Linked DNA regions of Cricetulus griseus. The protein of the gene in region 4 interacts with the protein of the main gene of each other region in a pairwise test. Links are inferred from orthologs where the notes say so. Each region holds a gene or a part of one and is shown on either strand. Other genes may lie near its edges. The genes, in order: Cby2, Sox5, Ptpn3, Lmo1 and Tfip11.

Region 1 (5,645 bases), on a different chromosome or scaffold from region 4:
CAGACGTTCCTGCAACAGCCCATCACGATCCATCCACATTGAGAAGGTCTCACTTCCCAAATACCATTAGTATTCGACTTTGGAGGTCAAGTTCCCAGCACATGAACTATAGAGGACACACTCAAATCATAGCAGTGCATGTCAGCTAAGCCTGGATGTTCACTGTCTAGTCCCGCTCCCAAACTCTTTAGGCAGAAGGCCACCTAACCCCAGTAACTCCATCCGAGAAGATTTCTCCTTGAGAGTTCTAGTCTTTAGAAATCATACAGTACCAGTAAGAGACTCTGGTGGTATCCCCTCCCTTTCCCCATTGCCTTTTGTTCCCTTTGTTCAGTTGGCTGCTCTGCTGTTTTTCAGGGTCGCTGGAAATCACAGTCATTGGTGATTTAAAGCATCTTCATTAGAAATGAAATACCAGGAGGGGCCAGGCCTATGCTCAGGAAGGAGTCCAGCCCATAGGCAGTTTCAGGCACCAGTGAGGGCCATGTATGTACCCAGGGCTCTTCCTGGATCCCCAGCACTGACACTTCGTTGGGCCACAGCTATGAGTATACTACCCTGGCTCCTGAAGACAGTCTCTTGATCATCTTTCTAACACCTAATGGGGGAGGTATGATGAGCCTCAGAGTCACCTGTGCTCCCCTTCCACAACTTCATTCCCTGAAAGAGCCAACTTTGTTCTTTTTCACACACTGTTCTCCATCTCTATGGGAGAACATGTCCCAAAGACCAAGAAGAGACATTCCTTCATTGACTGAATCTCCTAGGATCAGTAGAACCCCTTCATGATGTTCCAAATACAGATAGAAATCTTGTCAAGACCCAGGTCATCAAACAGATTAGATCAGCCAATGGAAGAAATCTGGGAATATCATTGACCTGGCCCAAGACCCCTACGGAGAAGGGCAGGACTCTTGAGTGCCAGTTAAAGGAGACTGGGGTCTTGAATCTACATGTATTTGCTCAGCTTTGTTGCTTACATTTTGGCAGAGCCTTTTGTAAAGCAATACATTCAGATTTCATAGTAGTTTAGAACAGGAGTTTCCAAATATTACCAGTGGGACTCTCTTTTTGTGTGACATCTTGTCTACCACTTGTTCTCTTATGAACCTAGGAAGCAGGCACAGCAGCCATGAGCAGGCTCATTTTTAGAGGTGATGGAGAAACAAGAACTTCTCAATGGGACTGAGTCATGGAAGTTTTGAGATCAAGGCTCCTGGGGCTTTGGATTCTAGGTTCAAGATGATGAAATGGCTGCTGTCCTGGCTTCATTTCTGTTGCAGTGATGAAATGTCCCCAATATGAACATCTTAGGGGAAAAAGGGTTTATCTGATTTACAGGTTACATCCCATCACTGAAAGGAAGTCAAGAAGTTGAGACTACTAGTTACACCCACAGACAAGAGCAGAGGGACGCTAATTGCATGCACTTTCCTAGTATTTAGCTTATTTTCTCCACTCTTACATAGTCTAGGACCCAAACCCAGGGTATGGCACTACACACTGTGGGCTGGATCTTCCCACATCAAGTAACCCAATTTAGAAAAAACAAAAAACAAAAACAAAAACCTCGAAAATAAAAGAAAAAGAAAATCCCTCACAGGTATTTCACAGGACAGCCCAATCCAGATAAGTCTTCATTGAGAATCCCCCACCTAGATTGTGATTCTAGATTGTGTTAAGTCATGACTGAAACCACTCATCATGGATGTTCAGTATGGTGTATGCAGGAAGCAGCCTTTAAAGGGGTGGCTTTTAGATTTTGGGATATTTCAATATATAGATGGAGACAGAAGGAAGGGAGGTTTCTCAGGGAATGGAGCCCATGCAAAAACATTAAATCCATATGATATGTAGATATCATATACAACTCATAATAATTTTATGCACTATTTTAGTGCACCTGTTTCTTTGCATGAAGGCAGGTGTAGGATTTTTCACTTGTGACATCATGTGGATGCTCACAAAGATACATATTTTGGAGCACTTTGGAACTGAGATTCTCCAGGTTAGGGATGTTCCAGGTAAGCTAAAATAATATTTCAATTGCCAGTGTTGTGAGAATTAAGTGAATTATATAGGTCAAATGCAACCACATAGCCAGCTTGGCAGCCTGCAGATGCCTGCAGCTGCAGCTCTGAGGGACCTGACACCCTCCTCAAGGAGGTGTAGTCATCCCAAGCTAAAATTTTAGAAACTGAAATTCATACAACTTGCCCAAATTCTTATAACTGATAAGTAACAGGACTGAAGTTGAAGAGGAAAAAATGTTTGACTTTAAAATCCATGCCTTTAATTTCTAACATATGATTGGATCTTATTATCTGTGGGTTTTCATTTTTTTGAGACAGGGTCTTTCTCTATGCAGTCCTGGTTTGCCTGGAACATGCTATGTAGAGCAGGATGGCCTTGAAGTTCTGATTACATTCCTATCTGCACTGCCTCCATATAACGGGGTTAACAGGCCTGTGCAAGGCATAGCTCATTATTCATAGACTTTATAGTTATGAATTTATAGACCTTTGACTATCACGGCATTAGTGCCCATAGAATACTTGTGGTCATTCTTGGATCTGTAGAGAGTCTGTGGGAGTGTACACCCAAGAACTGGCCTCCAGGCACCCCTTGTTTGAACTCTCATCCTGGAAAATAGTGTCCTGTTTGCAGTTTATATACCACTACATTTTCTGAAACCTGTGCTTCCTATTGGTGGTTTCCTTGCTTAAAGTGGCATCTACAAACCCTGTTAAAGACTGTTCCTAATTACAGTGTGCCTGTGCTGTGCCTCCCGGAGCAAGCTTGTTAGATAAGCTCTGCTCAGGCCGGGTGCACCCACTGCCAATCTACAGATCCGTGAGGGTGTCTTTAAACAGAAACAAGGATCAATTACCAGAATTTTTATGACCAGAACCTTATAGGAACCTAGCCCAGCATCTCCCCTAGGAACCATGGTTCAGTATTCATTAATTCAAGAAGAAAGGTATTCAGAATAACAAAGGCTGGCTGTATTTCCTTGTGAGGATGCTCGGAGGTCAGGTGCGGGGTGTGTGGGGGGGTCCTCTGGGCCTCTTAGTCTACCAGCAAGCAGTCCTTTACTAGTTCCTGTAACAGTTTCCTTGCTCTCTCCCACAGAGGGGCACCACTGAGCCCTTCCTGAGGTTGCACAACCTGTACAGTATTCCTCGCTGCTCCAGGCAGACTGCCTTGCCCCGAATGAGTCGCAGGGTAGTCAGCCAGCATTCCTACCCACTCAACCGCTTCTCCTCTGTGCCCTTTGACCCCATGGAGCGCCCCACCTCCCAAGCTGACCTGGAACTGGACTACAACCCTCCCAGGGTGCAGCTCAGCGACGAGATGTTTGTCTTCCAGGATGGGCGCTGGGTGAACGAGAACTGCCGCCTGCAGTCGCCTTACTTCTCTCCGTCCTCCTCTTTCCATCATAAGCTGCACCACAAGAGGCTGGCCAAGGAGCACCTGCTGCAGGAGGAGAACAAGTCTCTACGGGATGAGAACCGGGCCCTGAGGGATGAGAACAAGGCCCTCCGCAAGGAGAACAAGATACTACAGATCTTTTGGGAAGAGCACAAGGTCACTTTGGGCCATGAGGAGAACCCATCCTCCTCACCACTGATGCACAAGGACACAGCCTCCCAAGAAGTGGTGAAAAAAGACAATGTCACCTTGCCTGTCCAGCGTAGCAAGGAGAACACCCTGCAGCTCATTCGAGAGGAGAATCGGGCCCTTCAGCAGCTGCTGGAGCAGAGACAGGCCTATTGGGCCCAGGCAGAAGACAATGCAACTTCTGCCGAGGAGGGCAAGCCCACCTCCTCACCCAAGGAGGAGCCCCATAACCCTGGGCTTCTGCCAGAACAGAGTCCAGGCCTCTCCTCCCCATTTGAGGAGCACAAGGGGCCGCCTCCAACACAGGAGGACTCTAAGACACTGCGTGCCCTGAGGGAGATGGTTAACAACTTATCTGGACCATCTGGGGAGGAGGAGGGCAAAGTAGGCCCCAACCTATCTGACAGCGCTCAACCTCTGCAGCTGCTGAGAGAGATGAACCAGGCCCTGCAGGCCCTGCGAGAGGAGAATAGGCTGCTGCAGGAGGAGAACCGGGCTCTGCACGTCCTGCGTGAGGAGCATCGAGTCTTCCAGGAGGAGAACAAGGCCCTGTGGGAGAACAACAAGTTGAAGCTGCAGCAACGGCTGGTCATTGACACGGTGACTGAAGTTACAGCCCGTATGGAGATGCTTATTGAGGAGCTGTATGCCTTCATGCCGGCCAAGAACAGTAAAGATCCCAAGAAGCCCAGTAGGGTCTGAGGCCTTCTCAGCTGACATAGACACAGATCAAGCACAGCACAGGAGGCCAGAGAGAATCCCCAGCCTCCCTATGTCTTCCTCACCTTTGTCACCCCCAGTGCATGCCTGTGGAACAGCAGAGAAAGGGCCATCCTACACCCAGAGACACACAATAAAGGCAGAGGAGGCTGGGCCAGCCGACACCAGTGTGGAGTTTTGGCTTCTTGTCATCTGTCTTCATTACTCTTTTAACTTCCCACTTCCTCTTCTGCTTCCTGTCCTCCTCTTTCCTCCTCCTCCCTCACCAACCTTCTTGTCCAACCCCCCTTCCTCCTCGTCCAACCCCTATGCCTTTTCTCCCCCTCTATAGACTTAGCTGGGTATGGTGGTACATTTCTGCATTCTTAGGATTCAGGAGACTGAGGCAGGAGGATTGTGAATTTAAGGCTCTAGCTAGGCTACCATAGTAAAAGAGGAAGGGGCTGAGGTCAGGCACGTGACATGGGGTGATAGACGATGACTTTAGTCTTTAGAGCAAAACTGAGCTGAAAGTCAAAGTTCCTGTAGACCTCTGCCCATACTCATCAACGTCCCCTACTAAGATCTATAAGAATTGATGAATCTACATTGACTCATTATTAGCATGTAAAGTCCACAGTTTGTTAGGATTCTCTGGCTGAGTTCCTTAGACCTTGAGCCAGGAACCGTAACCCACCCCTCTCCTGGAGGTCCTGGCATGTTGGGAGTCTCAGTATCCTTAGAACCCTATATGGTGGGCATTCTCATCTCTAAGACATGAGAACAGGAATTCTAAGACAGTCACCAACTGACAGGTAGGAAAAGCCAAGTGGGGACTCGTACCGCAGACCAAGTCAGGCTCCTCCATGGCACTCACTGCTGGTTTCCTAGTCTCTAAGCATTAAAGGTGTTTTTGGTATCTGTTTTCCAGATTTAAGAACTTGACAAGTCTCACCCCCAGAGCAGCATCAGAAATCCCAGAGGAGGGGGGACAATATGAGAGGTTTTCCTCTCACTAGTCAGTGGCACATTTGCTCTGCACCCAGGGTAGACAGTGACGGATGTACAGGAGGAGGCTAGTCATTTATTCTACTAATGTCACCTGAATCTGAAAAATGTGTACTGGCTGTTGATGGTCCTCTGGGCCTTAGTAGTTTTTCCTTCTCTGTTTGTTCAATTAATTCATCATTCAGGGGACCATAAATATCAAACCTGTTTAAGTCAGGGTACTAACCCCAGGGTGTGTGTGTGTGTGTCGGGGTGTGTTACTTTTGTGTTTTGATGAAACCATATCGATTCTGTTATGCTGCACAACGGGAAGACAA
Region 2 (5,645 bases), on a different chromosome or scaffold from region 4:
GAGCTGAATAAATACTGTCTTAGTGGACCAGCGACAGACACACTGGGGCAGACGGGGGGCCGTCAGTAGGAAACTAAACACGCATCACCTTGAACCTGCAGAACTTCAAAATTAAATACTGTATAAACCTGGCTAAATAAATGCCTGTGCCCTACAAGACAGAGAGAGCTCAGCCACTTTAAGTGGGTTTTGTGGTTTTTTTTTTTTTCTTTCAGACCTCCTAAAGTTTTACTTCACTATTAACTTGATAGACAAATATTTTATAAACCTGTTTGTAAATATACAGTTATTACAATTCAATAATTTACCCTTTAGAGTAAGGAAAGTCTAATTCTTTCTTATGTTTTTAAATGAGATAGAAGAGGATTCCTCTGAGAACAGTATCAGCTTGTGCATTAAGAAAATATCTAGAGAGGGGCCATAAAATGGTAGAGATAACTTCCTTTATGTGAACTAAGGTGACTGTACTTCAGAAATCAAATATATGAAGTGACCTCATTAAACAACACTTTACACCTTAATATTCATTCCCTATGGGAAAATTTGGCTTCAACCATGATAACTATGTTTATTGGGAGGTGTTTTACACAAAGGTAATTCTTAGCTAGATACCAAATGAACTTTTAAAGTTCATTTGATTAATCTGAGCAAAAATACACTAGTGTGTGTGTGTGTGTTTCTCCTGATTGTAGTAACTAACCAAATTATCATTAACTTACTAACAACCTTAACCCACTTCTTTTCTGGTGAATATTTTTCTTAGATTTATATCAAACTGGACTATTTTAAGAGGTACCAATTACAAATATAAAAGGGAGAAACTGGCAGTATTATTTTTCGGTGGTGTTATAAAGGCAGGGATGATGAGGGGAGATGGGGTGTGGCTTGAACAGACCAGAGAGGAAGGAGGTGGGGGCGTGGCTTGAACAGACAGGCAGGGGAAAGGAAGGAGGGTGGGGGCGTGGCTTGATCAGATAGGCAGGGGAGAGGAAGGTGGTATTCAGTTTGCTACCTTTGATCTTTTTGTTGTGTCTTATTTCCTTTACCGTATCTTATTTGGTCATTGTGTGGCACACAAAAGAATATAAGGTTTTAGGATCCTTTACAAAAATCATCATCCAATCAAGGGCCCAAAGGGCAAAGTGTTAACACAGTTGCTATTAAAAGCACCTTTTTTTTTTTCCCCTAAGTGACTTCAGTGCACTTTAGACATGAATAGAATTACCTTTATTTTTGTTGTCCCCCAGGGAAAACTCTTGGGCAAAGCAAACTCAACATCCACTGAAGAAAATGTCAGGACAGACTATGACAGGACATATTATGGACTTGCTTTGTGGTTTTCTCTGGGCACAGTTCAATCATAGACATAAAACTCAACTAAACTGGAGAGTTTCGGCTGCTACAAGTCACCATGAACAATTTGTTTCCCTTCAAATAAAACAAATGCCGACCAAAGAGAGAGCCTGCTCAGATAGCACTGTGTCGGAATGGGTTTTGGCCATGGATGCCTTCAGTAGCATCTACCTGGAGCTAAAACAAAGTATTCTTGTTGCCCAAGGTCAAGAAAGGAAAAGCAGGCTTGTCTAGAATGTGCTGTGAGATCAGAACCCAGCACACTTAAATGGAAAACCCACATCAGTCAGGAGGGTTTGTTAACAGACACAGAGAAACATTTTTTTTTAATAAATCTGTTTTCACATTGTATGTTATAATGGTATAAAAACAAGTGTCTATTTTTTTCTCTTATTCAGAGTGCTTCAAAACAAAATAAACAAAAACAAAAAATTGGCTCTAGATAATTGGTAATTAAATAACTAAAATGAGAGAAAAGAACATAAGTTAATTAAGATTGAACACAACCCTCCTACTAATTCACCCCTTCATATTAAACACCAGAACTGACACTACCGGGGCCAAGACTGTTAACACAGAGGAAGTTATGGATGGAGAAGCAAGTGTGTGGATGAGTATATGTGTATCATATGCACACATACATGTATGTGTGTACATGTGTGTAAGAGCTGGAAAGAGAAATTAACTTTAAATACCTAACAGCTTACTGGCTGTACTTCCAAATCAGAGCAGAATAAAATAGAAAGGGAGAAATAAAATAAATTATACATAATTTACTAATCTGGGAACAGCTGACTGTTATTATTATTATTATTATTACTATTATTATTATTATTATTTTATCATCATTTTACAACACTAGCAAAAAGAGGCAATTCAAAGGAAAATACAGTCATTAAAAAAATAAAAACAACAAACAAACCACAAACAGAAAACAGAACCAAACCTCTGACATGCAGGTATGATCAGCTCCTCCAAGCAAAACCCCAGAGCAAGACTTTTGAGAGAGAGAAAAACAAAAAGGATTTTTCTTCTTTACTTTTTTTTGTTGTTTTTGCTTAGTTGTGCCGGGGGGGAAAATCAAACTTAAGGGCAGTGTTTGGTGGGGCAATTTGAAAAAGGGATTGAATACTGTAACATTTCCAGGCCACTGGCTACAGTGTAACATATCCATCCAGGCCACTGGCTACAGTGCTGACTGACTGATACTAAACACTAACCATGGTGAGTGACCTGAAGTGACTCTGTGTTTGTTTCTCCAGGCCCCACCCCTGCCTTGGCCCTTTGGTTGGTGACATCTGTATCACGAGTCCTGTCACCATTGGCTGTTAGTCCCAGCAAGGAGTCTGCTGGCAGGAGCAATTGATCTTTAGCAGACTCAAATTACCGTGAAGGACCATACAGTAGTAAGGGTCTGTGCTCGGCCAGCCTCCCCTTTGTGTGCTACAGTGAACTGTAACCAAATCCTAGTTCTTATGGAAGGGCATACACATGGCCCCCGTTTGTGAAATGCAGCCTCTGACCTCATTGCATGGAGAGATGAAACGAAAATCCTACAGAACTACCAGTTCTGTTTCCCAATTGGGAAAAGATGGAATGGGGGAGACACACCCTAATTCTGTATCTCTGAAAAATGGCCAAATATATTCAGTCAAAACAATGATTGTTTTACTCAAAGTTTCAACAGGAAACACACACACACACACACACACACACACACACACACACACACACACACACACACACACACACACCACTAAGTAGCAAACATTAGAAGAAGCAAATTGTCCAGGAAGAAAGGGACCTCAGGAAGCATTTGGTTGGTAGCTTCCATGTTTGCCAAGCACATGTCCATGACACAGGGCCACCAGGTCCACCCAATAAGAAACATTCTTGACACTGAAAAATAGAATTTCTGAGCCCTACGTTTAGTTCCATTGTCACTAGAAGTGCAAAGTCAAGGTCAAGGTCAAGGTCAAGGTTGCTATTCTAGACCACTTGCTTAGGAGAGGTGGGATTCCGTTCCCACATGTGGGTTTTGCTTTCAATGGCCCAACATTATTCCCTAATAGGAATGTATCTAATGTACCATAATCACACACATACACACACAGAAATCCAAGATCAGAAAATATTTTTCCTCTAAATTTCTATGTCTCTCTCTCTCTCTCTTTTCACCTGAGAACGGCACCTACAGTTTCCATTACAAAAAAATCAATCTCACCAGTTGCTGGTGTATCAGCTCTTTCCAGGGACTGTCTAAGGTTTAACACTGTCCCAACTTAAGAAGGAGCAGGAGTAAGGAAGGGGTAGAAAATGAACTTGGTGATCGCTTCAGTATGGATTTGGCACTTGCTTAAAGATGTAGTGTTGTGTGCAAGAGTAAGAGGTCTCCAAAGGAAATGATTGCTGATTGTGTGGTATAGAACCAAGGAAGGCAAAAACAGGCTCTCTTTTTCCTCTCTCCCCCCCACCCTCACACACGGGACCCCATCTTTAAAGCAGAAGAGAGACAGGGCAGAGGGACCCAAGTGCCCATCTCCCTCTTTCTGTCAGGTGCAAGACAACAATCACAAAGGATTAAAAAAAAAAAAGAGAGAAAGAAGGTAAAAGAAAAACCCAGAACCATCCCCCCCAAACAAAACAAAACAAAACTTATTTCTTTTTTAAAAATTGTAGCACAAAACAACAAAACACATTCACAAGCCACTTGTTGGCACTGTGTACCTGAGTGAGAATTTCTAGTTATAGAACAAACAGCCATAAAGTTTATTAAAAAAAAAAAAAAGTTGACGGGTGAGACTTCAGTGCTGGGGTCTAGCAGCTGAGTTACTGGCTTTGTTTTACCCATAGCTTATTTCAATCTCTTGTTGATGTTGTCTGCTTGGAAATTGTTTCCTTTCCGAGCCTTTTGAGGCTGAGGTCTATTTGTCAGCTGATGTCCCAACTATTTAAGACTAACAGTTAAAATAACAGTCAGTGTATGAGAAAGTTAATGTGCTTGGCCACTGGTAAGGATGGACCAGCTAGGGCTTCTTTAAGTCCTCAGCTCACCACACCACAGTCTGTTGGCCCTTATCAGTTGGCTTGTCCTGCAATATGGTTTTCGCTGTCACTCCCATAATCTACATCTGGGTCATCCTCTTCCTCGTCATACTCGTCGTAAATCTCTCCGTTGATGTCCTCTGCCTGGATCTCCTCTTTGATGTGAGGTTCCTCTCCCTTCACGCTGTAAGTGCTCTGGATCAAGGGCATCCCGGGCTCTGGGCTGCTGGACACACTCGAGTGCTCTGAGGGCAGGTGAGGGGATGGCATTCCCGCCATGGCGATGGCTCCAGGGTACACAACTCCAGCAGTGGCGATGGGAATCTGTGCTTGTTGCCTGTCACAGAAAAAGAAGGTGAGCATACGCATGAGATCTCAGCTGTCCTCTGGCTCAGCACTAACTGGATCCGGCTTACCCAACACGCTTCAATGACATCCCGTGTGGATTCTAGGGCCTCCCCTGCCTGTATGGTGCCTCATAGATTAGGAGGCATATAGCTGAATTGCCATTTGATAATTAAAATAATCCTGATTTTTTATTATTAGGTTAAAAAAAAAATCTGTCACAGAAAGATTCAGCAAGAACCAAGAGCTTGCCTCCTGGTTCGCTTTGCCTTCACTATGACAGATGGAAGGAGTTTTTGTTTCTCCTACAATGGAACCTAGAGATAGTTCCAGTGCAATGGAAAAAAAAAATCTCTAAGCTATTGAGAACTTTCAGAATAACGTTATGGTCCCCAAAGTATGATCAAGTAATGTTATCTACCTAGTGTGTGAAATGGTGTGAGTCCTTTGGGGACCTCAGGCAAAGCCAGCCTCATAGACATACCGCCCTGGAAATTGCCTATAGTCCCAGACTTACTTCCAAGTCCTACTCTCCCACTATTTAAAACCTTTTAACATGGGATTCTCGGTTTTGCAGTGGACCTTAAAAATTAATTTAGCTGATACTGGTGGGTTGGGTTTCCTAGACATTCACCTGGGCTCATTTTCCTACTTTCTTTCATTCATTGATAGATTTACTTACTATATGCTCCAGAAAAGGTGGCCTCCTGGAGCCTTGCACAGAGCATGCTGGCTCTGGAGGGTGTGTGGCAGGTCTGATCAGCTACCTTTTATGATTCAGCCACCTTCTGCCTATCCCCAGAGTGGTCTTTGCTATCTATGCTCTCTGTATCTTCTTGTTTCAAGCATGAGTGACTTTTCCCCCCTGTGTATCTTGAGAATTCTGCAGTGCGGCTGTAGGC
Region 3 (6,341 bases), on a different chromosome or scaffold from region 4:
ATGTAGAATACCATCAGGATTCCAGCCTTGGCAGAACCTGTGGAGAGAAATGGGGCCAGGCTTTGCTTTCCAGGAACTGACTGACTGGTGCAGGAAGGTAAGCCCTGCGATTATGGTCAGAGAGGGGACCACAAATCACCAATCCCTTCCCAACATGCCAGTCCCTTGAAAGGAAAGAGAGTATTCCATGTCTTCTGGTCATTCCGGGAGGTTATTTATACTCATTCTAGAAAACAAGTGCCCCTTGCATTCATGGACCTATGTGTAGCTCAGAAGGCCACAGTGAGTCCTCTTGCTCTGGTCTCACTCAGTCTTTGCTAGCTCACATATGTATGTGTGTTGGTGGGGGTAGGGAGTGGGGCATAACACTATAATTAAACTTCCAGCCAATAAAAACTAAGAGCAATTACCTACTACCCTAGGACTGAGACCGAATATCAACCTAAAACTCAAACTTCTTCCTGGGATAAGATTTGCCTATGACCTTGTCTCTCTGGCATGGAGTTGAGACCTCAGCAAGCATATTAAAAGCTATCATACCTTTGCTATGAGATCAGTCAGGTAAAATGAGGGCTTCAAGCTGGGATCTTGAATTTAGCTCGTAGGTAAGCTGGGAGCCAAGAGCCACACACACTAAGATCTGGCCTGAGTTGCAGGGAAGTGCACCAAGATTCCAGGCTGGGGGGGTCCCTTGGCCTATTCACCTTGCTTCCCTACCCATAGCCCTGCAGCTGCCAAACAGAAACATCTGTTCAAAGGCTCACCTCATCTCTTCCAAATGCCCTCAGCAACCTGACCTCCCGTCTGCCACTCATGTCTAATTTGCATACACTAGTCTTTGGAGGAGAAGACAAATCACCAGAGACAACCCAGATCAATATAGAGTATTAGGCACGTTTTTATTCCATTCTAATTCTCGGCAGATTGGTATTCCATTAACTGTATGTGGGGATTTATGGGAGTGCTCATACACTAGAATATTTAACTAGAATGGCCTACTCCCTGTCAGATAATAGCTTACTGTTGTTAATTTTCAACTAGGCAATCTCAGGAAGGCTTCCAGTTTCCAATACAGTCCAGATCTTGATTTAATCGTCAGGAAAGACATCTATGTGAGGTCTAGCCACACATGACAGTCTTATCCAGAAGAAAAAGCCCTGTCCCTGGAACCAGAAGCCTTGGGTTCCTCCATCCCAGTTACAATCAGGACAATTACAGGTGCCCGCTCAGAGCCTCAATTTCCTCCTCTATAAAATGGGAGTGACACCACCCTCTCAGGGAGAACTGTAAAACCTAAACGAGATGTTCATACACACTGCACAACTCTACGAGGTAACTAACTGCAAAGGTTCGTTATTATCATAAAAAGCCCCAGATGAAATTCTCAGATAGCCTAGGCTAGACAAAAAGCAGAGCGTATCACAACTAATTCTACTGAAAGGGGAGACACGTCAACCCAGACAATACATGGTGGCATTTCTGGTTGGCACATGGAAAGGGCTGCAGCAAGAACCAATTGAGCAAATACCAGGGAGGCTGCTTTGCACCCTATAATGCACAAGGGGCACCCACCGCAAAGAAGACACAAACCCACTGTGAGATGCCGACAAACCTTGATCCAAGTACTTAAGGTTAGGCATGGGAGCTCTGCAGCATCGGCATCTTCCCAGACAGGCTTTCCAACTCATTTGCAAGGCGGGTCATCTTGCAGAAACAGTTCTTTCTGCAAGTGGGGACCAAGTGTCAACTTCTGGAGTTTCTTAACTCCAGACTGCCTTTAAACAAGAGGCTCTCTGCTCCCCACCGTTCTGTTCAGTTGCTTTTCCAAAGCCTCAGCAGACCTTCTCCGGGGCACAAACACAGGCTCCGAAAATGCTTGCCTAATTCTAATTTCCTGACGAAATGGGAGCCACGAGGGTCTCTAACTGAATTAAAATCACATCACGCCAACTGCTCGCTTGCTTTGTGCCGGGCACAGAGCCAAACACCTCCACATCATTTATCCTACTTAATCCACCACCAACCAGGCGAGGTGGGCATTATTACTGCCTGCATGCAAGGGAGGAAATGGAGGATCAGGGAGGTTAAACTACTCGTCCAAGGTCACCAACTGGCCAAGGTAAAGAGCCCAACTTGAACCCAGGTCTCGCGTTTCCTAACCACAAGCTCCCTGCACCTTCATGGAACACCAGGTGCCAAGTTGTCTTAACTTCCCATGAATTTTTTAAAGGCAACCCTCAAGTTCGTAATAAGTTTGGGTGGCAGCAACCGGGGGCGAGGGTTTCCGGTTCTCTCTCCGCACAACGCAGCAATGTCACCGCAAGTTAACAGAGAAGCCACCCGGTCGCCCGCGGAACGGGGCGGATTGGATTAGCTCTGGAGTTCGTGCCAGGCCCAGGAAATGCCATCTTTGCAACTGGGAGGCGAACTGCGCCCCCCCAATTTGGGGGGCGAGCCTCGGGGGCCGCGGACGGATGGATCCCCGCGGCCGTGCGCCCCCTCGGCGAGGCTGACTATATCGCGGCGCCGGGCCCAGGGCTCAACCAGACTGGAGCGCACGCCCACGCCCGCGCCGCCGTGTCCTGAACGCCCAGCCCTGCGCCGTCCCCGCTCGCGCCCCGCCCCAGCCCCGCCAGGTGATCCGGGCCTGAGCGCCCCCCCAAGATGCCCGACGTGGCGCGGGGGACCCGGGGCTGCCAGCCCTCCCGCTAGTCCTCCCGCATGTCCGCCGCGCCCCGGGCCGGGTGGGGGTGGGGTGGCGCCCCGCGAGTCCCTGATCTCCGCAGCCAGCGCCCCGGCCCACCCCGCGGAGGTCCCAGCCGCCCATACCTGCAGCATCCGGGGGCGCGGGGCGCCCAGGTAGGTCGCGCGGACGGGCGGCGCGGAAGCTCGCTCGCGCCGCGACCTGGCCGCCGTCTGAGCATGCCCAGTGCAGCCCGCGGGCGGCTCCCGCCGGCCCGGCTGTGGCCGCGACGGGCCCGCGCGCGGGGCGGGGGACCCGGGACAGGGGCGGGCCCGGGGCAGGCTTGGGGCACGCTGCCATGCCCTTCGCGGGCCACCTGCCGACATCCCGCGGACCTCCGAGACCCCGGCTCACGTTCGCTGCCGTTCATACCTTAAGCATTTATTGAACACCTACTGTGTGCCTGACTTTCCGGGATTGCATGCCTAGGAATGGCAAGGACTTGGCGCTCAATGAATCTTTGAAATGACAGCGAGCTTGCACCGGGCTCCGTGGCTGAGTTGGGGATCTCGCTGACACTCCAGCACAGTCCTTTGCTGGTCCTAGGACGCCAAACAGGTTAGCCTGTCCCAAGGCCAGCAGGGGCCCTAGCTGGAGGGCGTTCCTGCCTGCCTCTTCCGCCTCCTCCCACACCTGCCTTCCTGCGCTCTGAGTGCACCTTCCTCTTCATCACACCCTCTGAACTTGACTCGCCTCGGGACGTTTGCGCTGCCTTTCCCTCGGGGTAGGACGTCTTTTCCCCAACTTAGCTGGTGCCCGGCGCCCTCTCACCGTACAGGTATCTTCCGTAGGAGAGGCCTTTCTGGCTACCTTTCTAAACTAGCCCTGACCTCTTGGCCACTCTCCACGTCCGTTATCGCCTTCCAAGCAAGTATCACGTATCCATTCAACAATTACTTACGTTCTTCACATTTAATAAATAGACAAAATTTCTGCCCCTTGCTGGGAGTTTGGAAGGGAGTCTCTCGCAACAAACAACAGGTCCGCAAACAACGCAGTGTATGAGGTGATAAATTCTTAAGAACGGGGTGGGGATGGTGGGGGAGAGAGCTGGGCAAGAAGGCTAGGGGGGTGGCCTGATGAGAGTTGGTGGAACAGCCGGATCAGGTGACAAATACCATTCAGTCACGCAGCTAAACGAGGAAGCTTTCCTAGGACGGAAAAGTCAGTGCCAAAACAAGGAGCGCAGGTGTTGTGCCTACGGCACGGGAAAGAGGGCACAGGGACAAACGGGGTCGGTTACTGGCTGTCTCTCTTGGCTTGGGTCCCCCGTAAGGAGTACCTCCCTTCAGTGTCAGTTCGGTAGCTCCGCCTCTCAAGAGACCTAACCTCTAAACAACTCTTGGCACAAACTAAAAACGTTTTTGTTGAATGAAGATTGCTAACCGGAGGATGTAGAGGTGGGTAGGACCCCTATAGTCGGATGTCCCGAGAACCTTTTGTCCCCTAGGCACCATGAGACCCTCGACCGTGCCTGGTTTACTGGTTTAGATCCCGGTCCCGGTCCCAAGGTAGTGCACCGCTGCGGGAGCCGCGGGAGCGTCGCGTCCGGGGAATTCCGACAGAGCCGGGAGTCCCGGGGGCTGCACTGCCTTGGCCCCGCCTAGGATCGTACGCAAAACCTGGAGCCACAGCGCCGTGGCAGCACCATTCGGACCGGCAGGGAGAGCACTGGGCATGCTCGGAGCCTGGGGCGCCCAGCGTCCGGAAGGAAAAACCCCCTGGAGGGGTTGGTGAGGCTGCACACCGAGTCCCACCTGGTCATCTCAGGCTCAGCCTTCTGCCTCCGGGCAGGGAGTGCTGGGTAACCTTCCTCCCCCAAGCATGGTGGGAAGACCATTCAGAGTCAGCTGACTGCACACTCTGTCCTCTACCAGCTGCTGTGTGATCTGCTACCAGAGCCTTGCGCTCTCTGTGCCCTAAATAATACAAATGCCTACGCTTGGATTCGGGGGCGTGTGGGGATTGGAAAAATAAAATAAAATAAAAAAGGACGTGAATTTATTCAGTCCACTTTAAATATTTACCCCTTGCTGAGGCTTGAATCCAGGGCTTTGCACACCATAAGCACGAATCTCTACCACTAGAAGCCTTACCCCAATATTCGTTTCGGAAGTGCCTATCTCAATTATGCCATCCTCTCGTAACACGGACTGCTAAGATGAGGCCTGGAGAATTCTTAGCGCTGTCCAGTTTAAAGTTGCTGGAGTAAAACCGTTACCTTTTCTCTGCTCATCATTGCTTAAGCAATGGTCTCAGATTCGAGCTAGAAAATAGCTGTGAACCTTAAATCCCTAAAGATTATTATTAATTTTTTGTTTTGTTTTTCGAGACAGGGTTTCTCTGTGTATCCTTGGCTGTCCTGGAACTCTCTCTGTAGACCAGGCTGGCCTCGATCTTCCACCTGTCTCTATCTCCCAGGTGCTGGAATTAAAGGCATGTGCTACCACCAACAAGCAAGATTTTTTTTTAAATTCGTATTTCAAATCACCATAACAGAACCAGGAACATAATAAAAGAAATAAAAGAATCCTCCTCCCCAACTGGAACAAAGCAGATGCTCAAAGGGAGGGTAATGATTGATTGTGTTCAGATCCATTCACTGAAATAATTACAACTAGATCTCTCGGGTCCTTGATATGGTTCAGTGGGTAAGGGCACTTGCAGACAAACTGACCTGAGATCAGTCAATCCCCAAGCCCCACCTGGTGGAAGACTGACTCCTGCAAGCAAGTTATGCTCTGATCTCCATGTGCATGCACATGCATACATACACACAATAAACAAATAAAATTATAACTTAAACTATTTCTATCACTATGCAACAACAGGAAACAACAAATGAAAATATTGAAAGCAACAAATTGTGAAAAGGTGGCATGGACACACCACTAAGAATGCAAATAATAGAATTTTGAAGCCAGGAGTGGTGTTGCAGACCTTTAATCCCAGCACTCAGGAGGCAGAGGCCATCAGGTCTCTGTGAGTTTGAGGCCAGCCTGATCTACAAAGCAAGTTCCAGGACAGCCAGGGCTTCTATGTTTTGTTTTGTTTGGTTTTTAAAGTTAATTAATGTCTTAATGTTGTGTGTGTGATAGTAAACACTTAAAGACCTGGACATGGTGACACATATCTTTAATCCCAGCACTGGAAGCAGAGGCAGGCAGATCTCTGTGAGTTCTAGGCCAGCTTGGCTAGCAAGTTCCAGTATAGCCAGTGCTCTATAGAGAGACCCTGTCTCAAAAACCTTCCCCCAAGTAAATAACACACACATCCATGATTAAGTTCAAATGTGGCCAATGTTTTCCATGAATTCTTCAATCTTTACAGTAGGTGGTTTGGTTTGTTTTTATCTCAGTTTCACTGAAAACAATTACAGGGGTGGGTTCACAGCTGGGGACAGGGATGGGTTCACAGTTGGTGACACACACTGGGGAGGATTTGAAGGCAAGCCCATTGACCTCATAGCGGGGTGTCAGGTTTTATGGTCTGTTGCCTTATATAAAGGAGCTAGCCATTGATTGATGAGTAAAGGAGACTGTCATTTTATTCTGCCCTTTGTGTGCCTTTCCCCCCCTAGTTTGATGTATTTTTTAGG
Region 4 (6,075 bases):
GCTTCGTGGTCATTGGGGTTTATATCGTTGGACCACCATGGCATAATGAGGCCTGAGGTTTTGGAGAAGTAGGGAAGGCTGTGTTTGCAGGGACACTGGGATCAGAAGCTTGTTAGAGGGTAGCTTCCCTACCCAGAGTCTGAGAAGACATCAGCTGTGGGTTGATTGTAGGCTAAAAGGGGTGGGCCCAGGTAGGAGCACAGGACCAAGCTGGGATACCTAGAGCACACACTAATGATCTGGGCCCCCAAGGCCTTCCTCTTGCAAGCTCTGAAGCCTTCTCCAGGGTTTGGCTGGAGTAGTCTATTCTGCCAGGTTCCTGGCAAGGCGAGTGAATGTCCTACATATTGCTGTGACTTCACAGTCCCCCAGGAATGGCCTGACAGATGACAGACAGCTTGACCAACAGGCAGCTCCCAGCTACAGATACCATGTTTCACAGCTGGTAGTTCTGCTGACTGCCACATAGGGCCCTCTTGCTTCCCCGGGGCTGTGCTCCAGGCCTCCCTGCTTCCCTGGGGCTATATCCAGCTCTTCTTCCTCCATTTGGCTGGAAGGAAAGTTTGTTTCGAACAAGGATCTTCTTCCTAGGAGTCCATTGCTAGTCTAGAATCCATAGCGATCTCTCTAAACTGCTTCCCAGAAGGTTGGGCACTTCCCAGTTCTGCAGAGAAAAGCTGTAGTAGCCCCCAGAGTGTCAGCAGGAAACCCCAGCCCTATGCTCTGTCAACCAGTACTGAGAAATCCTCTGTCCTTTTTGTCCTGGTGACAAGGTGCAGGCCCCCTCCACTGTCCCTCTCATAGTAGCTAGCAGGTGCTGTGCTCTGTTGCTTCATGAAAGAAGCAAAGCCCAGCAGCTGGGTAAGCTGAGCCGGGCTGGAGGTTTCCCCTCTTTGTGCCTGGAGAACACATTTAAAACTTTGAATTCAAAATTGATTTTGAAGGGCCCTAATCTCTGCTCCCCTGATGCTCACGGTGTGTCTGCAGCTCCTGCCAGACTCTCGTTTTCTGGTTCAGCGCGTTGGTGCTCATGTCCCTGATGCTGTGAAATTGAGACTCGTCTGAGAGTCTGGGTCCTCCTCCTCCTCCTCCTCCATGAAGATTGCAGGCCTCTTGGGAGCCCCGTTTCATTAGATGGGTGATGCTGGCTTTGCAGGTGCCCAGGATGTAGCTGAGTCACCATCTGGGGAACACAGCTTCCACACACATCCTCCCTGGTCTCCCATAGATGTGTGGCTACAGGCAGCACATCTCTAAGGAGCATGGTGACTAGCCTCTGCATCCTGGGATGGGATTGAAAGACTCTAGACAGAAAAAGACTTGGGCCTGGTGTTTACCTACTGGAAATCCGACCCCAGGGGGGCATTACTTCCCATTGGGTGCTAAAGACTCAGCCCAGGCTATAAGAGGAAAATGGTCATATTAATACACCCAGAAGACCTTCCGATAAGAGCAATGGAAGCCAGGGCTGTGTGGAGCCAAAGGGTCCAGGACAGAACTGAGAGGAAAGGACTGAACTGTTAGCCTCCCATTGACCCCTGAACTCTATGGTGCTGCCTCCCATAGAGTCTGAGGGGGTCAGAGTGTTGTGTGTAAAGGAAATCATGGAGTAGAGCCCTGGGATTTACCTCTCAAAAATTTACTTCAAGAAAGCTAAGTCAGTAAAGTGCCTGCTGTTTGAGTACGAGGACCCAAGTTTGATCCCTGGTACCCATTAAAAACACTAAAATGCATGCATACAAACAAGGGGGAAAATTGCTTTGTGGCAGACAGGACTAAGTCCTGTCTCTTCTTTTTTCCTAGAGCCACAAGTGTCTTGGGCTCCGTGACAGGGGGCAGCAGTATGCCATCAAGGCCCCCCTCTCTGGGGCCCTGCCTGTATAAATCTACCCACTCCAGCCAGAGAGATGCTTGCCAGTAATATCTGGATAGCTGCCATTAAGTCTCTTCATTCATTTATTGAAGCGATGCTTAGGACTGCTGTCAGGTTCAGTGCTAGGAGAACAGCGGTAGATAAGACAGGGCCCCTTCCTAGAGGCTTCAATGCTTGGGAGAGAAGTCGTCATTTTCCCAGTAAATTCTCCAGAGGAAAACAGAGCAATGACCAGTTGCTTTTGAAAACTCAAAAGGAAATGACAGGCAGAGACGGGTGGTTTAAATAAGGAAGTAGGGGTGGAAAAGTCAGTCCCCTCTGTTGATATTTAAGTTCCAGGGTGGAAAGACAGGAACCCCTAGAGAATCAGGGAGAGCTGGAGTGTGGTGGAGCTCAACATGGAAGGGGGATATAGGGGCCAGACCACATGAAGCTGTTCCAGGCTACATGCAGAGCAAGTGTGCCATGCTCAGTGTGCCAGAAGCTATGGAAAGGTTCCAGCCTGGTTTATTTGGAAAGGTTTCTCCTACTGCAGAGTAAAGAATGGGTTGTAGAGCACTAGGCTTATGAGACCAATGCCCAAAATATGGTGAAAGATGAGAGTGGGGGGCTGGGGACGTTCCTCGGGGTAGAGTGTTTGATAAGCACATATAAAGCTCTGGGTTTGATGCCCAGCATTGCATAAACTGGGAAGGATGGTATATGCCTCTAATTCCATCACTCAGGAGATAGAGGCTCAGGAGGTAGAGGCAGAAGGATCAGAAGTTCAAGGTCATCCTTGGCTACATAGTGAGTTCCAGGCCACCCTGAGAGCCATGTGAGACCCTGGCTAAAAAAAAAAAAAAAAAAAAAAAGGCTCTGGAGATGGAAAGAAGCAGCTAGGATGGAGAGTAGTAGGACGTGTGTGTGTGTGTGTGTGTGTGTGTGTGTGTGTGTGTGTGTGTGTGTGTGTATGTATGGTGTTCCTGAGTTCCTCTGGGGACAGAGGATGGCCTGGGGTGATGGTGTAGGTACTGTGAAAGAAAGGTAGAGCAGGGCACAAAGGTAGAGAGGCCAGGTTTGGGTTGGCATTCAGAGCTCCTAGCTTAGACCTGTAGCTTTTAAGCTATGTCTGAGATTGCAGGGAAACCAAAACAAACAACAACAACAACAACAAAAACAAACAAAAACCAGACACCCATTCCTAACCCAGAGAGGGAAAAGCCACCTTGGATATCTGTGCCATTAACTTAAGCCTCCTTCCAGTTAGGGGTCTCCAGTGAGCATGCACAGCTTCCTGTATGGCCAGGTCCTGGTTAAAGGCCTACAGAAGACCTAGGAAAACTGTGGGAAGGTCAGCCCATGAGCTGCCACAGTCTTGGGTGTTTCTGCCTGCTGGCCTTTCTACAAGTTCTTAGCTGGTTCTTGGAATATATGTGTTTCCTCTGAATCTCTGAGCTTAATCCCTAGCTCCCCAGTAGTGTGTTGTTAGGAGCCGGGGCCCTTGAGGGCAGAACCTCATGAATGGGATTAGTATTTTCATGTGTGGGAGCCTAGAGAATTCCCCCACCCCTTCTGCTATGTGAAGTACAGCGAGAAAACAGCTGTCCATGAGCCTGGAAGCAGGCCCTTATCAGACAATGATTGGGCCAGTGCCTTGGTCTTGATCCTCCCAGGCCCTAGACTGGGAAAATGAATCTGTTGCTTACAGTCCACCAATCTGATGTTGTGTCAGAGGTGCCCCAGATAAAGACTTTCTGCAAGGCTGTTGTTTCATACTCCAGGCTGTGCAGCCTCCACTTTCTCCCATCCCTGACCTTAGCTTTTTCCATCTCTAGACACACCAAAGTCACAGAGGCTTCAGGGTTTAGATGCAAGATGCTAAGGACAGTTGGCCTCCTCCAAAGCTCACTGCAGAAGTGCTACTGCTTCTTAATACTCTACTGGAAATTGCTCTCCAAACTGCTGAACCTGAGTCAGTACTCAGCCCGCAAGCAGCCCATCATGATAGCTGTCCCTGGAATGTGCTCTGGAGCTTTCTTCCTTAGCAGGGTTCATATGGTCCAAGAAAAGTTCACTTTTCCCCGTTGTTTAGGAAAAAAGACAGTATGGCCACCCATGTTTCCAGCTGGGAATGGGTGCTTCCTGACAGTGACCAGTCTCCATGGCAACCTTGGTCACTCCTAGGATTGCCATGGGGCAAATGGCATGAGATTTCTAGGCACTGGCTCACAGTGAGTGAACCTGCAGCACTCAGGAAAGGGTGGTGTGGAGTGTTACCATCCATCTGTGTCGGGTGACCCTGGCAGCAGGTGCTAGGGATGCTGCCAGGCAGTCCTTTCTGGTGGGCGTGGCCTGTGGATTAGTCAGGAGTGCCTGCCAGAGTTTGAGGCTAGGACAAGCAAGAATTGTGGGATGGAGCGGGAAGAACACTCTGAGACATAGCAGGCAGGACACTTCAAAGAAACTGAAGGAGGCAAGGTTGCTTCCTGTGTCAGTGCCTGGTTAGATTTTCCCTCCCTAACCTGACCCAGTAAACACCATGCTGCAAATGGACTTTCAGAGGTCAGTAATGAGTGTGGACTAGATGACCATGGCCGTGGGTTCCAACAGTTGTTCTCCTTGGCTTTTGATTCCAAATGAGTAGGAAATGCTATTAGTTCAGGCCTCACCTGCCACGTGGCAGGGCCTGGGATAGGAGTGCAGCCAGACGAGAAATTGTGGAGATAAAACCCGTGTGAAATGGAAGCCTTCTCACAGGCTGCACGGGCCCGTGCAGAATAGAGTTACTTCTGAGAAAAAAACGAGATTGAGAGAGATGCATCAGAATTAGATTACACTTTCAAATTTCCTTGTGGAAGGGATTTGACGCCCAGGAGGGACACAGGCAGGCTCTGCTGGGGTGCTTCCCTTGAACTCCACATCTGGGATGGGCCCAGGTGGATGGCAAGAGCCCTTATCTATGAGGCCTCTGAGTCCTGCTGTCGGCAGCAGAGGTGGGAGGGGATGACAGGGCTGACTGCTGGAGGCTCTCATGCTCTACAAGGATTCAGGTGGCTTCTGCTTCCTTCTGTCTCTAAGGTGTCAGTTTTTGATCGAATCAGAGTCTGTTTTAAGAGTGATGGGCTACGGCAGCCCATGACTGTGTGCACCTGTGCTACAGTGTATGTTTATATCAGCACACCAACATGTGTATGGGCCCAGCCATGCATATGCACACTTACACGCATGAATGTGTTTTCGTGTGCGTTACTGAGAACCTGGTGTGTGTCAGTTCCAAGCTGGGCATTGATAGAACTGATGGAGAATAAAAACAGACACAGCCCCTTCTTGTGTGGCCCTTGTGGGCCTGTGCGATTCCATGCCTGTGGAGGAGAATTTGTGTGCTCTACTCATGTGTCCTGTGGCTGAGTACATCTTCACACCTTCTAGTGTCATCTCATCTTCACAAAGTCTCCTGTGTGAGTCTCCTTAGCACCTCATCATACAGCCCTGCAAAGGAACAGGGCTGACTTCCTCCTTGACATGCTCTCACTGACTACTGGACCAGCCTCTGGATGACACTGTTATCTGGCCAGAGCCAATGTGACTCTGACCACAGTGGCAAGTTCATATCCATTCTCTGCTCTGCAAAGGAAGTGCCTGTCCCTGGTATAGGGCACTGAAGTGGGGCTGTGACTGAACTTTCCAGTGTGTGGAGTCAATGACACACAACTAGCTTGACATTCAGGCTCAGCTAGTCCTCATGACTCCTGTATAACTCATGGGGGCTTTCTGAGACGAGTGTTCTTTTCTTCTTTTGGGTTTTGTTTTTGTTTTGCTTTTCAAAACAGGGTCTAACTACATAGTCCTGGCTGTCCCAGAACTCACTCAGTAGACCAGGATGGCTTCAGAGAAGAGATCCACCTGCCTCTGTCTCCCAAGTGCTGGGATTAAGGTGTGTGCCACCACCCAGCAGGAGTATTGTTTTCATACCCATTTTTACAAAGAGGGAAACTAAGGCCCAGAGTTAATGAAGGCTACAGGGAAAAGTATCAAATAAATCCAGATCAGGGATAATCTAGAAATAGTGGGCTTTTCTACCTCAGAAGTACTGATCTCTTCAGACACCTAGGAATTCCTCTAGGTTCAAGTGAATGAATGTCTTAGCTAGGATTACTGTTGCTGTGATGAAACACCATGACCAAGGCACCTTGAAGAGAAACAAGTTTATTTAGCTTACA
Region 5 (6,229 bases), on a different chromosome or scaffold from region 4:
CTCCTGCTTCGCAGGCTTTTCATCATCATCAGAATCATCAGAGTCCGCTTCTTCAGCTGCCCCTTTCTTGAGCCCTGCGCTGATGAAGTTGACCGGTGCAGAATAGTCTCGGGCCCTGTAAACAGACACAAATCCCCCAAGGCTAGAAAACACCTCTGCAGCACCCTGTCCTCACAGAGAGAACTTCTTAGAGAGAGGGGCCTCGTGGGATCCACTTTAAACCATAATATGTTTATTATGCCCAAATGCCAAAAGGGACTCAAAACTGACCTCCAATAATCTTATGTTTAGCATATTAAAAATTATAATATCTTGCCAGGCAGTGGTGATACATGCCTTTAATCCCAGCACTCGGGAGGCAGAGGCAGGTGGATATCTGTGAGTCTGAGGCCAGCCTGGTTTACACAGTGAGTGCCAGGATAGGCTCCCAGAGTTGATTATAAATTAAAAAGATGATGTAATAACCTTACTTCCCTTTGACACTTTTTTTTTTTACTTTTGGTTTTTCGAGACAGGGTGTCTCTGTGACTTTGGAGGCTGTCCTGGAATTAGCGCTTGTAGAGCAGGCTGGTCTTGAACTCACAGAGATCCTCCTGTCTCTGCCTCCTGAGTGCTGGGATTAAAGGTGTGTGCCACCACTGCCCCACTACCTTTGACACCTTTTTTTTTTTTAAAGATTTATTTATTTATTTATTTATTATGTATACAGTGTTCTGTCTGCATGTGTCCCTGCAGACCAGAAGAAGGCGCCAGATCTCATTTTGGATGGTTGTGAGCCACCATATGCTTGCTGGGAATTGAACTCAGGACCTTTGGAAGAGCAGCCAGTGCTCTTAACCTCTGAGCCATCTCTCCAGCCCTCCCTTTGACACTTTTAAAAATGTGCACGATGAGGGCACATGTGCCTCGCAAGCATGTGAAGGTCAGAGGGCAACTTTGTGGGGTGGGTCTTCCTTTTCACTTCTTATGTAGGATCTGGTGATAGAACTCCGATAGCCAGGCTTGTGTGGCAGTGGTAAGCAGCTTTACTTGCTGAGCCATCCCACTGCCCCCCCCCCTTTACAATTGAAAAGAATGTTTTTAGCTTTTAGAGTGGTAAAGCACTCACCTAGCATGCATGTGGCCCTAGGTCCAATTCCCAGCAACACACAACACACCATTTGTTTTAGATACCATTTCAAGTGTAAAAATCAAACAGGAGCAGAAAAATTCTGATAGATAAGAATCTTAGCTGGGCAGTGGTGGCACACACCTTTAATCCCTGCCATTCAGGAGGCAGAGGCAGTGGTAGGACAGCCAGGGCCACACAAAGACTCCCTGTCTCGGGGGGATCCTAAGTAAAATTAATAAAAAATTCTGAGTGTAGTTAAGTGTGGGGACACATGCATTTTTCTTTTCTTGTGAGACAGTGTCTTACTGTGTAGCACAGGCTGTCCTACCACACTTATCTTGTGGCCCTAATCACTCTCTACCTTCATTTCAGCCAACTGTATTCTACAGGGTGACCTTCCCTAACCTCCCTATCCTTTAGGACCTGTGAGAATGCTCCTTGACCAGGGCATGGTTCCAAAGCTACCAAGCCTGTGGTTGGTTAGCACTCGTCTATCCCTAAGTAGCTGTATTCGTCACAGTAAGTGCTGAGGAAGAACCTGCCACCCCAGGTCAACAACACACAGCAAGATGCTGTAGCTATAGGACTTGATAGGCCAGAAAACTCTTTTGGGGTGCCTCTCCGATCCTCTAAAGCCAGGGCATGCAGCTCAGCAGACAGTACCGTTTGCCTCCAAAGCTGGGCCTCTCTTCATCGGAGTCATGTTCAGCCCATACCCCATAAGTGGCCTCCTCCTTGGTCTGCCAGTGACGCTGCCGGTTGGGGTTGAACTCATTCTGGAGATCCCAATCAGTGATCTCAAAGTTCTCACGCTCATCATCATCATCGTCCAGATGACCTTCCCCGTCCCGGTACAGGTGGGACAGTGACATGGCTGGTCACTAGAGGAAGGGGGACAAGAAGAGCAATGTGAAACCCTGGGGCCAACAGAAGATGCCCAGGAATCTCTACTCCTGTTTCTTCCAAAGGAAAGCCCATTAGCCTCATGCTACCAGTCAATAAAGTAGCCATTAAACACAGGACAAAGTGGCCAGCTCTGGGACAAGTGAGAGAAGTCAGTCCCAGCAGTCCATACAGGTCTAAGAACCCATTCTGCCTTGGCCTTGTCAGAGTCAAACATCACCCATAAGTGCCACAGGAAGGAAGTAATAGTTCTATGTTATTACCTCAGAAACTGAGTGGGCACCTCAGCCTCTTCAGTTCTCCAAGAGTTATATCAAGCCAACTGGGAGTCCCAGGGAAACTTCTGAATGTCTTCTGAAATACTGTTTCATGAGATTGAATGACCAGTGTAACACTCGGGTTTTTTCTTTCAAACCTGAGTGGCTTCTGAGGTACTGGAAGGCTGAGGTCTTTATGAATGACACTACACAGCGGCACCTAGAGGGTGTGGGATAAACAAACTGTTCTACCCAGGAATCTGTTTGGCCATCTCGGTAATTGTATCAGTGACTACAGTCGGTTTTAGAAGGACTGATTAAAGTGGCACTTTAGAAAAGAGAACTCCTGCCAGGAGTTGGTGGTGCACGCCTTTAATCCTAGCACTCGGGAGGCAGAGGCAGGCGGATCTCTGTGAGTTCTAGGCCAGCCTGGTCTACAGAGCAAGTGCCAGTGCCAGGATAGGCTCCAAAGCTACACAGAGAAACCCTGTCTTGAAAAACCAAAAAAAAAAAAAAAAAAAAGAGAGAGAGAGAGAGAGAGAGAGAGAGAGAGAGAGAGAAAGAAAGAAAACTTCCTCAACACCTACTCCACAATCCCCCTCCTCAACCTCCCACCCCACCGCCTCACTCAGGAGGCAGAGGCAGGTAGGTCTACTCTGTAAATTCAAAGCCAGCTTGGTCTACATAGTGAATACCAGGCTGGTCGGGGCCACACAGTGAGACCTGGTCTCAAAACAAACAAAATAACAAAAGCTGAGCTCCCAATAGGTGCTTTAAAAACAGCATCCTCGCCGGGCAGTGGTGGCGCACACCTTTAATCCCAGCACTCAGGAGGCAGAGGCAGGCGGATCTCTGTGAGTTCAAGACCAGCCAGGTCTACAAGAGGCAGTTCCAGGACAGCCTCCAAAGCCACAGAGAAACCCTGTCTCGAAAAAACCAAAACAAAAACCAAAAACAGTATCCTCTTCAGGCTGGAGAGGCAGAAGCAGGCGGATCTGTGAATTAGAAACCAGCCTGGTCTACACAGCGAGTTCCAGGACAGCCAAGGCTACACAGAGAGACCCTGTGTAGGGACGGAGGGAGGTAGGGAGGATTGTGAAAATCAGGAACACTTAAACCACACAGCCTGAGTTCAAAGCCCCCCTCTACCAGCGCCTCTGTGCGTGGTTATCACATGCGTGGATATCACACACAAAAACGCTAGCGTGGTACACAGCACACTAACGTCCTCAGTGTGTGACGCCATCGACTGACAGCGGTCTTCCTTACGTACAGCGAGATCTGGGCTTCTCTAGCAGGGTGGGACTGCTTAGCCATTAACAAATGTGTCCCTGCTCCTCCTCATTATGCACCGTTAACATCAACAGGTTCCAACCTGAGCTACGAGTGCACTTTGCTCGCAAAGTTCTCAAAGGAGGCAGGGAGCCCTGGACCAATCGGATTACAACACCGTCGCCTCCCCAGCACAGAACTGCTACAAAAAAAAAAAAATTTCACAGCGGTCAGGTGCTGCTCACAACACGAGCGCGCCCGGGGCTGGCTATCCAGTGTCAGCATCGGGACGCTGGCGGCTCCCAGCGCCTCATCTGGTCCCGGCCCCGCCGCAGCCCATGGCTGGAGACCCGGGCGCAGGGAGGCCATGGGGCCGCCGCAGAGGCTCAGCCCGTGCTCCCAGGACGCCACCCCGACCCCGCCGCTCACCTCGCTCGGCGTTTGCCAGCCACACAGCTTTCTCCAGCCTACGAGAGCCTGCGAGGAGCCCGCCAGCCGAAACCCGGATGTAGCCCTGCCGGCGCACCGGAATGACGTCACTAGGCGGTGACTTGCCACTAGAGGGGGGAGGGTCTGCGTGCCGGAAGGACTAGAGATCCCGCCCGCACTGCTTCCGGTTTCCACCGGAACTGAGGCGGAGTAGACATCCGGCCAATGGAACGCCATTGACCGGTGTCCAAGGGAGCGTAGGAATGGTTCCGGGAACCCCCCCCCTCGCGGATGGGAACAGCCGGGTCCGGACTACCTGAACCAATGTCACGCGGACCCTGAGTAATTAAAACGCCCTCGGCACTCCCTGTCGCGAGAAGGGAAAGCGAGGGGCTTCCTAGGAGAGATTTCTCCGTTCCGATCCCCTCGCTGCAGAGCAATCATCATGCACACTTCCGGGCTTTTGTTTCCTCTTTGCTGTAAACAGGAAAGGTAAAGGAGCCTAAGAACTTATCTCCAGGCAGTCTGGCCAGGCTGTAAATAAACCCGTTTTCCTTTGCCAGTCCCTATTCCTGTTTTCTCCTGAAACAGACTGACACTAAGACAGCAGATTTCTGCACCCAGGTGCCTCCTTCTTGGCTCTTTTAGGACAAGCCAGCCTGGGCCCACAAAAGTTTAAGGCATGAATGGGCGGAAGGCGTGCACAAGCGTTCTCTCCAGGAAGAAGTTTTATTATTTTCCTCTCCGCTCCAGTTATTTCTCTTGCTGTGATAAACAACTAAGGGGAAGCGGGGCGGGGTTTTTGCTTGGATTAGTTTGGGTTTGGTTTTTCAAGACAGGGTTCCACTGTGTAGCCCTGGCTGTCCTGGAACTCGCTTTGAACTCGCTGGTCTGCCTCTGCTTCCAGAGTGCTGGGATTAAAGGCGTGTGCCACCACCGCCAAGCAAAAGCATATTTCATCTTACGCTTCTCCGGGTTATAGTCTGATGCCATCTAGGGTTAAAGAAAAAGTTAGTTTTCTCTCACGTCCTGGTGGGGTTTTTAGTTGTTTTTTGTTTGTTTGTTTGTTTGGCTGGTTGGTTTTCCCTGTCAGCTTCACACACACAAGAGTTGTCTGGGATGGCCTGTTAGGCAATCCCGTGGGGTCATTAACCTGGTTAATGATTGATGTAGGAGAGACCAGACATTGTGGGTGGTGCCACCCCTGCTTTGATGGTCCTGGTTGAGCTTGGGGAGCGAGCCAATAAGCAGTGTTCCTCCATGGCTTCTACCTCAGTTCTTGCTTTCAATTTCCATCTTGTTTTTCCTTAGTGAACTGTAACCTATAAACTCTTTCCTCCCCAAGTTGCTTTTGATCATGGTCGTTACAACTATGAAACCTAACTTAAAACGCACCGGAAAGATGTATTAGTGAAGCGCTTTGGGCATCTGTCAATGTCACCATGTTAACTGGTGAAGTCAGGGTCCCTTCTTGGGGATTATAGTCCATGAAAGAATTTAAGAACAGATAAAAACGAAGGCTAGAGGGCAACCCTTCAAAGGTCGAGCAAACTGTAACTCTCACAGCTGCCCAGAGGAGAATGGAGGAAAAGGAAAGGCATGATGCCATTTGAGATAGCCAGTTTGGAGGTCAGCCACATGGCATGAGGGGGTATTGGAGGGTAAGTCTAGATGCCCAAAGTGCAAATTTAAAGAAAAAAAAAAAAACAGGGCAAACAAGCTGGAGATCTAGAAACTGCCTGGGGGAGGAGAATGGAGAAGGGGAAAGCCTTGTCATAAGATAAACCGGCATAGAGGTCAGTCACATGGCGGGGGAGGGGGGGCCTTCAGAGAATATGCAAGGAATCCCAGTGCATGGAAATTAAAAGTACACTTATGTTGGGGAAGAATATTCTTGCAAGTGACAAAGTGAAAGTAACCCAGCCAGGCAGGCAAGCACACCTAAGCCACAAGCTGACTTCATTTCTATTCTGGCAAAGGTGTGTCTGTGTCTCACCCGGTTGGTAGGAGCTCAACCTCAATTTGACATGATTGCTACTCCATAATACTCACAAAGGGAAAGCCTGTGATGAAAAGTCTCAGAAATGTTTGGCATCTGAGGCTTGGACGTATACTACAAGAGTTTCACAAACTAAGGAGAGTTATGGAATACTGACCCTTAGGCAAGATAGCCATCTTTGATAAAACAAAACAAAAACCTTCTCACACTTGGGCTCTGTCCAGAATCCAAAAGGAAAAGACAAAAGAAGAAATGTGC

The links.
Region 1: the proteins of Lmo1 (region 4) and Cby2 interact in binary tests that used the Homo sapiens proteins (3 or more experiments, as listed by UniProt). The two-hybrid records come from large-scale screens. The link is inferred for Cricetulus griseus from reciprocal best matches to the Homo sapiens genes LMO1 and CBY2.
Region 2: the proteins of Lmo1 (region 4) and Sox5 interact in binary tests that used the Homo sapiens proteins (3 or more experiments, as listed by UniProt). The two-hybrid records come from large-scale screens. The link is inferred for Cricetulus griseus from reciprocal best matches to the Homo sapiens genes LMO1 and SOX5.
Region 3: the proteins of Lmo1 (region 4) and Ptpn3 interact in binary tests that used the Homo sapiens proteins (3 or more experiments, as listed by UniProt). The two-hybrid records come from large-scale screens. The link is inferred for Cricetulus griseus from reciprocal best matches to the Homo sapiens genes LMO1 and PTPN3.
Region 5: the proteins of Lmo1 (region 4) and Tfip11 interact in binary tests that used the Homo sapiens proteins (3 or more experiments, as listed by UniProt). The two-hybrid records come from large-scale screens. The link is inferred for Cricetulus griseus from reciprocal best matches to the Homo sapiens genes LMO1 and TFIP11.

What each region holds. Positions count from the first base shown.
Region 1 is NW_023276807.1:229,952,835-229,958,479, reverse strand, and holds the end of Cby2 (protein chibby homolog 2), read left to right. Parts: intron 1-3,132; coding exon 3,133-4,323; downstream 4,324-5,645.
Region 2 is NC_048601.1:5,793,273-5,798,917, reverse strand, and holds part of Sox5 (transcription factor SOX-5), read right to left. Parts: intron 4,736-5,645; coding exon 4,432-4,735; 3' UTR 1-4,431.
Region 3 is NC_048595.1:86,574,667-86,581,007, reverse strand, and holds the start of Ptpn3 (tyrosine-protein phosphatase non-receptor type 3), read right to left. Parts: upstream 4,258-6,341; 5' UTR 3,645-4,257; intron 2,951-3,644; exon of another isoform or gene 2,830-2,950; intron 1-2,829.
Region 4 is NC_048596.1:91,610,388-91,616,462, forward strand, and holds the start of Lmo1 (rhombotin-1), read left to right. Parts: upstream 1-2,459; coding exon 2,460-2,475; intron 2,476-6,075. UniProt on the Homo sapiens protein: May be involved in gene regulation within neural lineage cells potentially by direct DNA binding or by binding to other transcription factors.
Region 5 is NC_048597.1:91,999,030-92,005,258, reverse strand, and holds the start of Tfip11 (tuftelin-interacting protein 11), read right to left. Parts: upstream 4,103-6,229; 5' UTR 3,973-4,102; intron 3,746-3,972; exon of another isoform or gene 3,545-3,745; intron 2,492-3,544; 5' UTR 2,278-2,491; intron 1,993-2,277; 5' UTR 1,984-1,992; coding exon 1,775-1,983; intron 116-1,774; coding exon 1-115. UniProt on the Homo sapiens protein: Involved in pre-mRNA splicing, specifically in spliceosome disassembly during late-stage splicing events. Intron turnover seems to proceed through reactions in two lariat-intron associated complexes termed Intron Large (IL) and Intron Small (IS).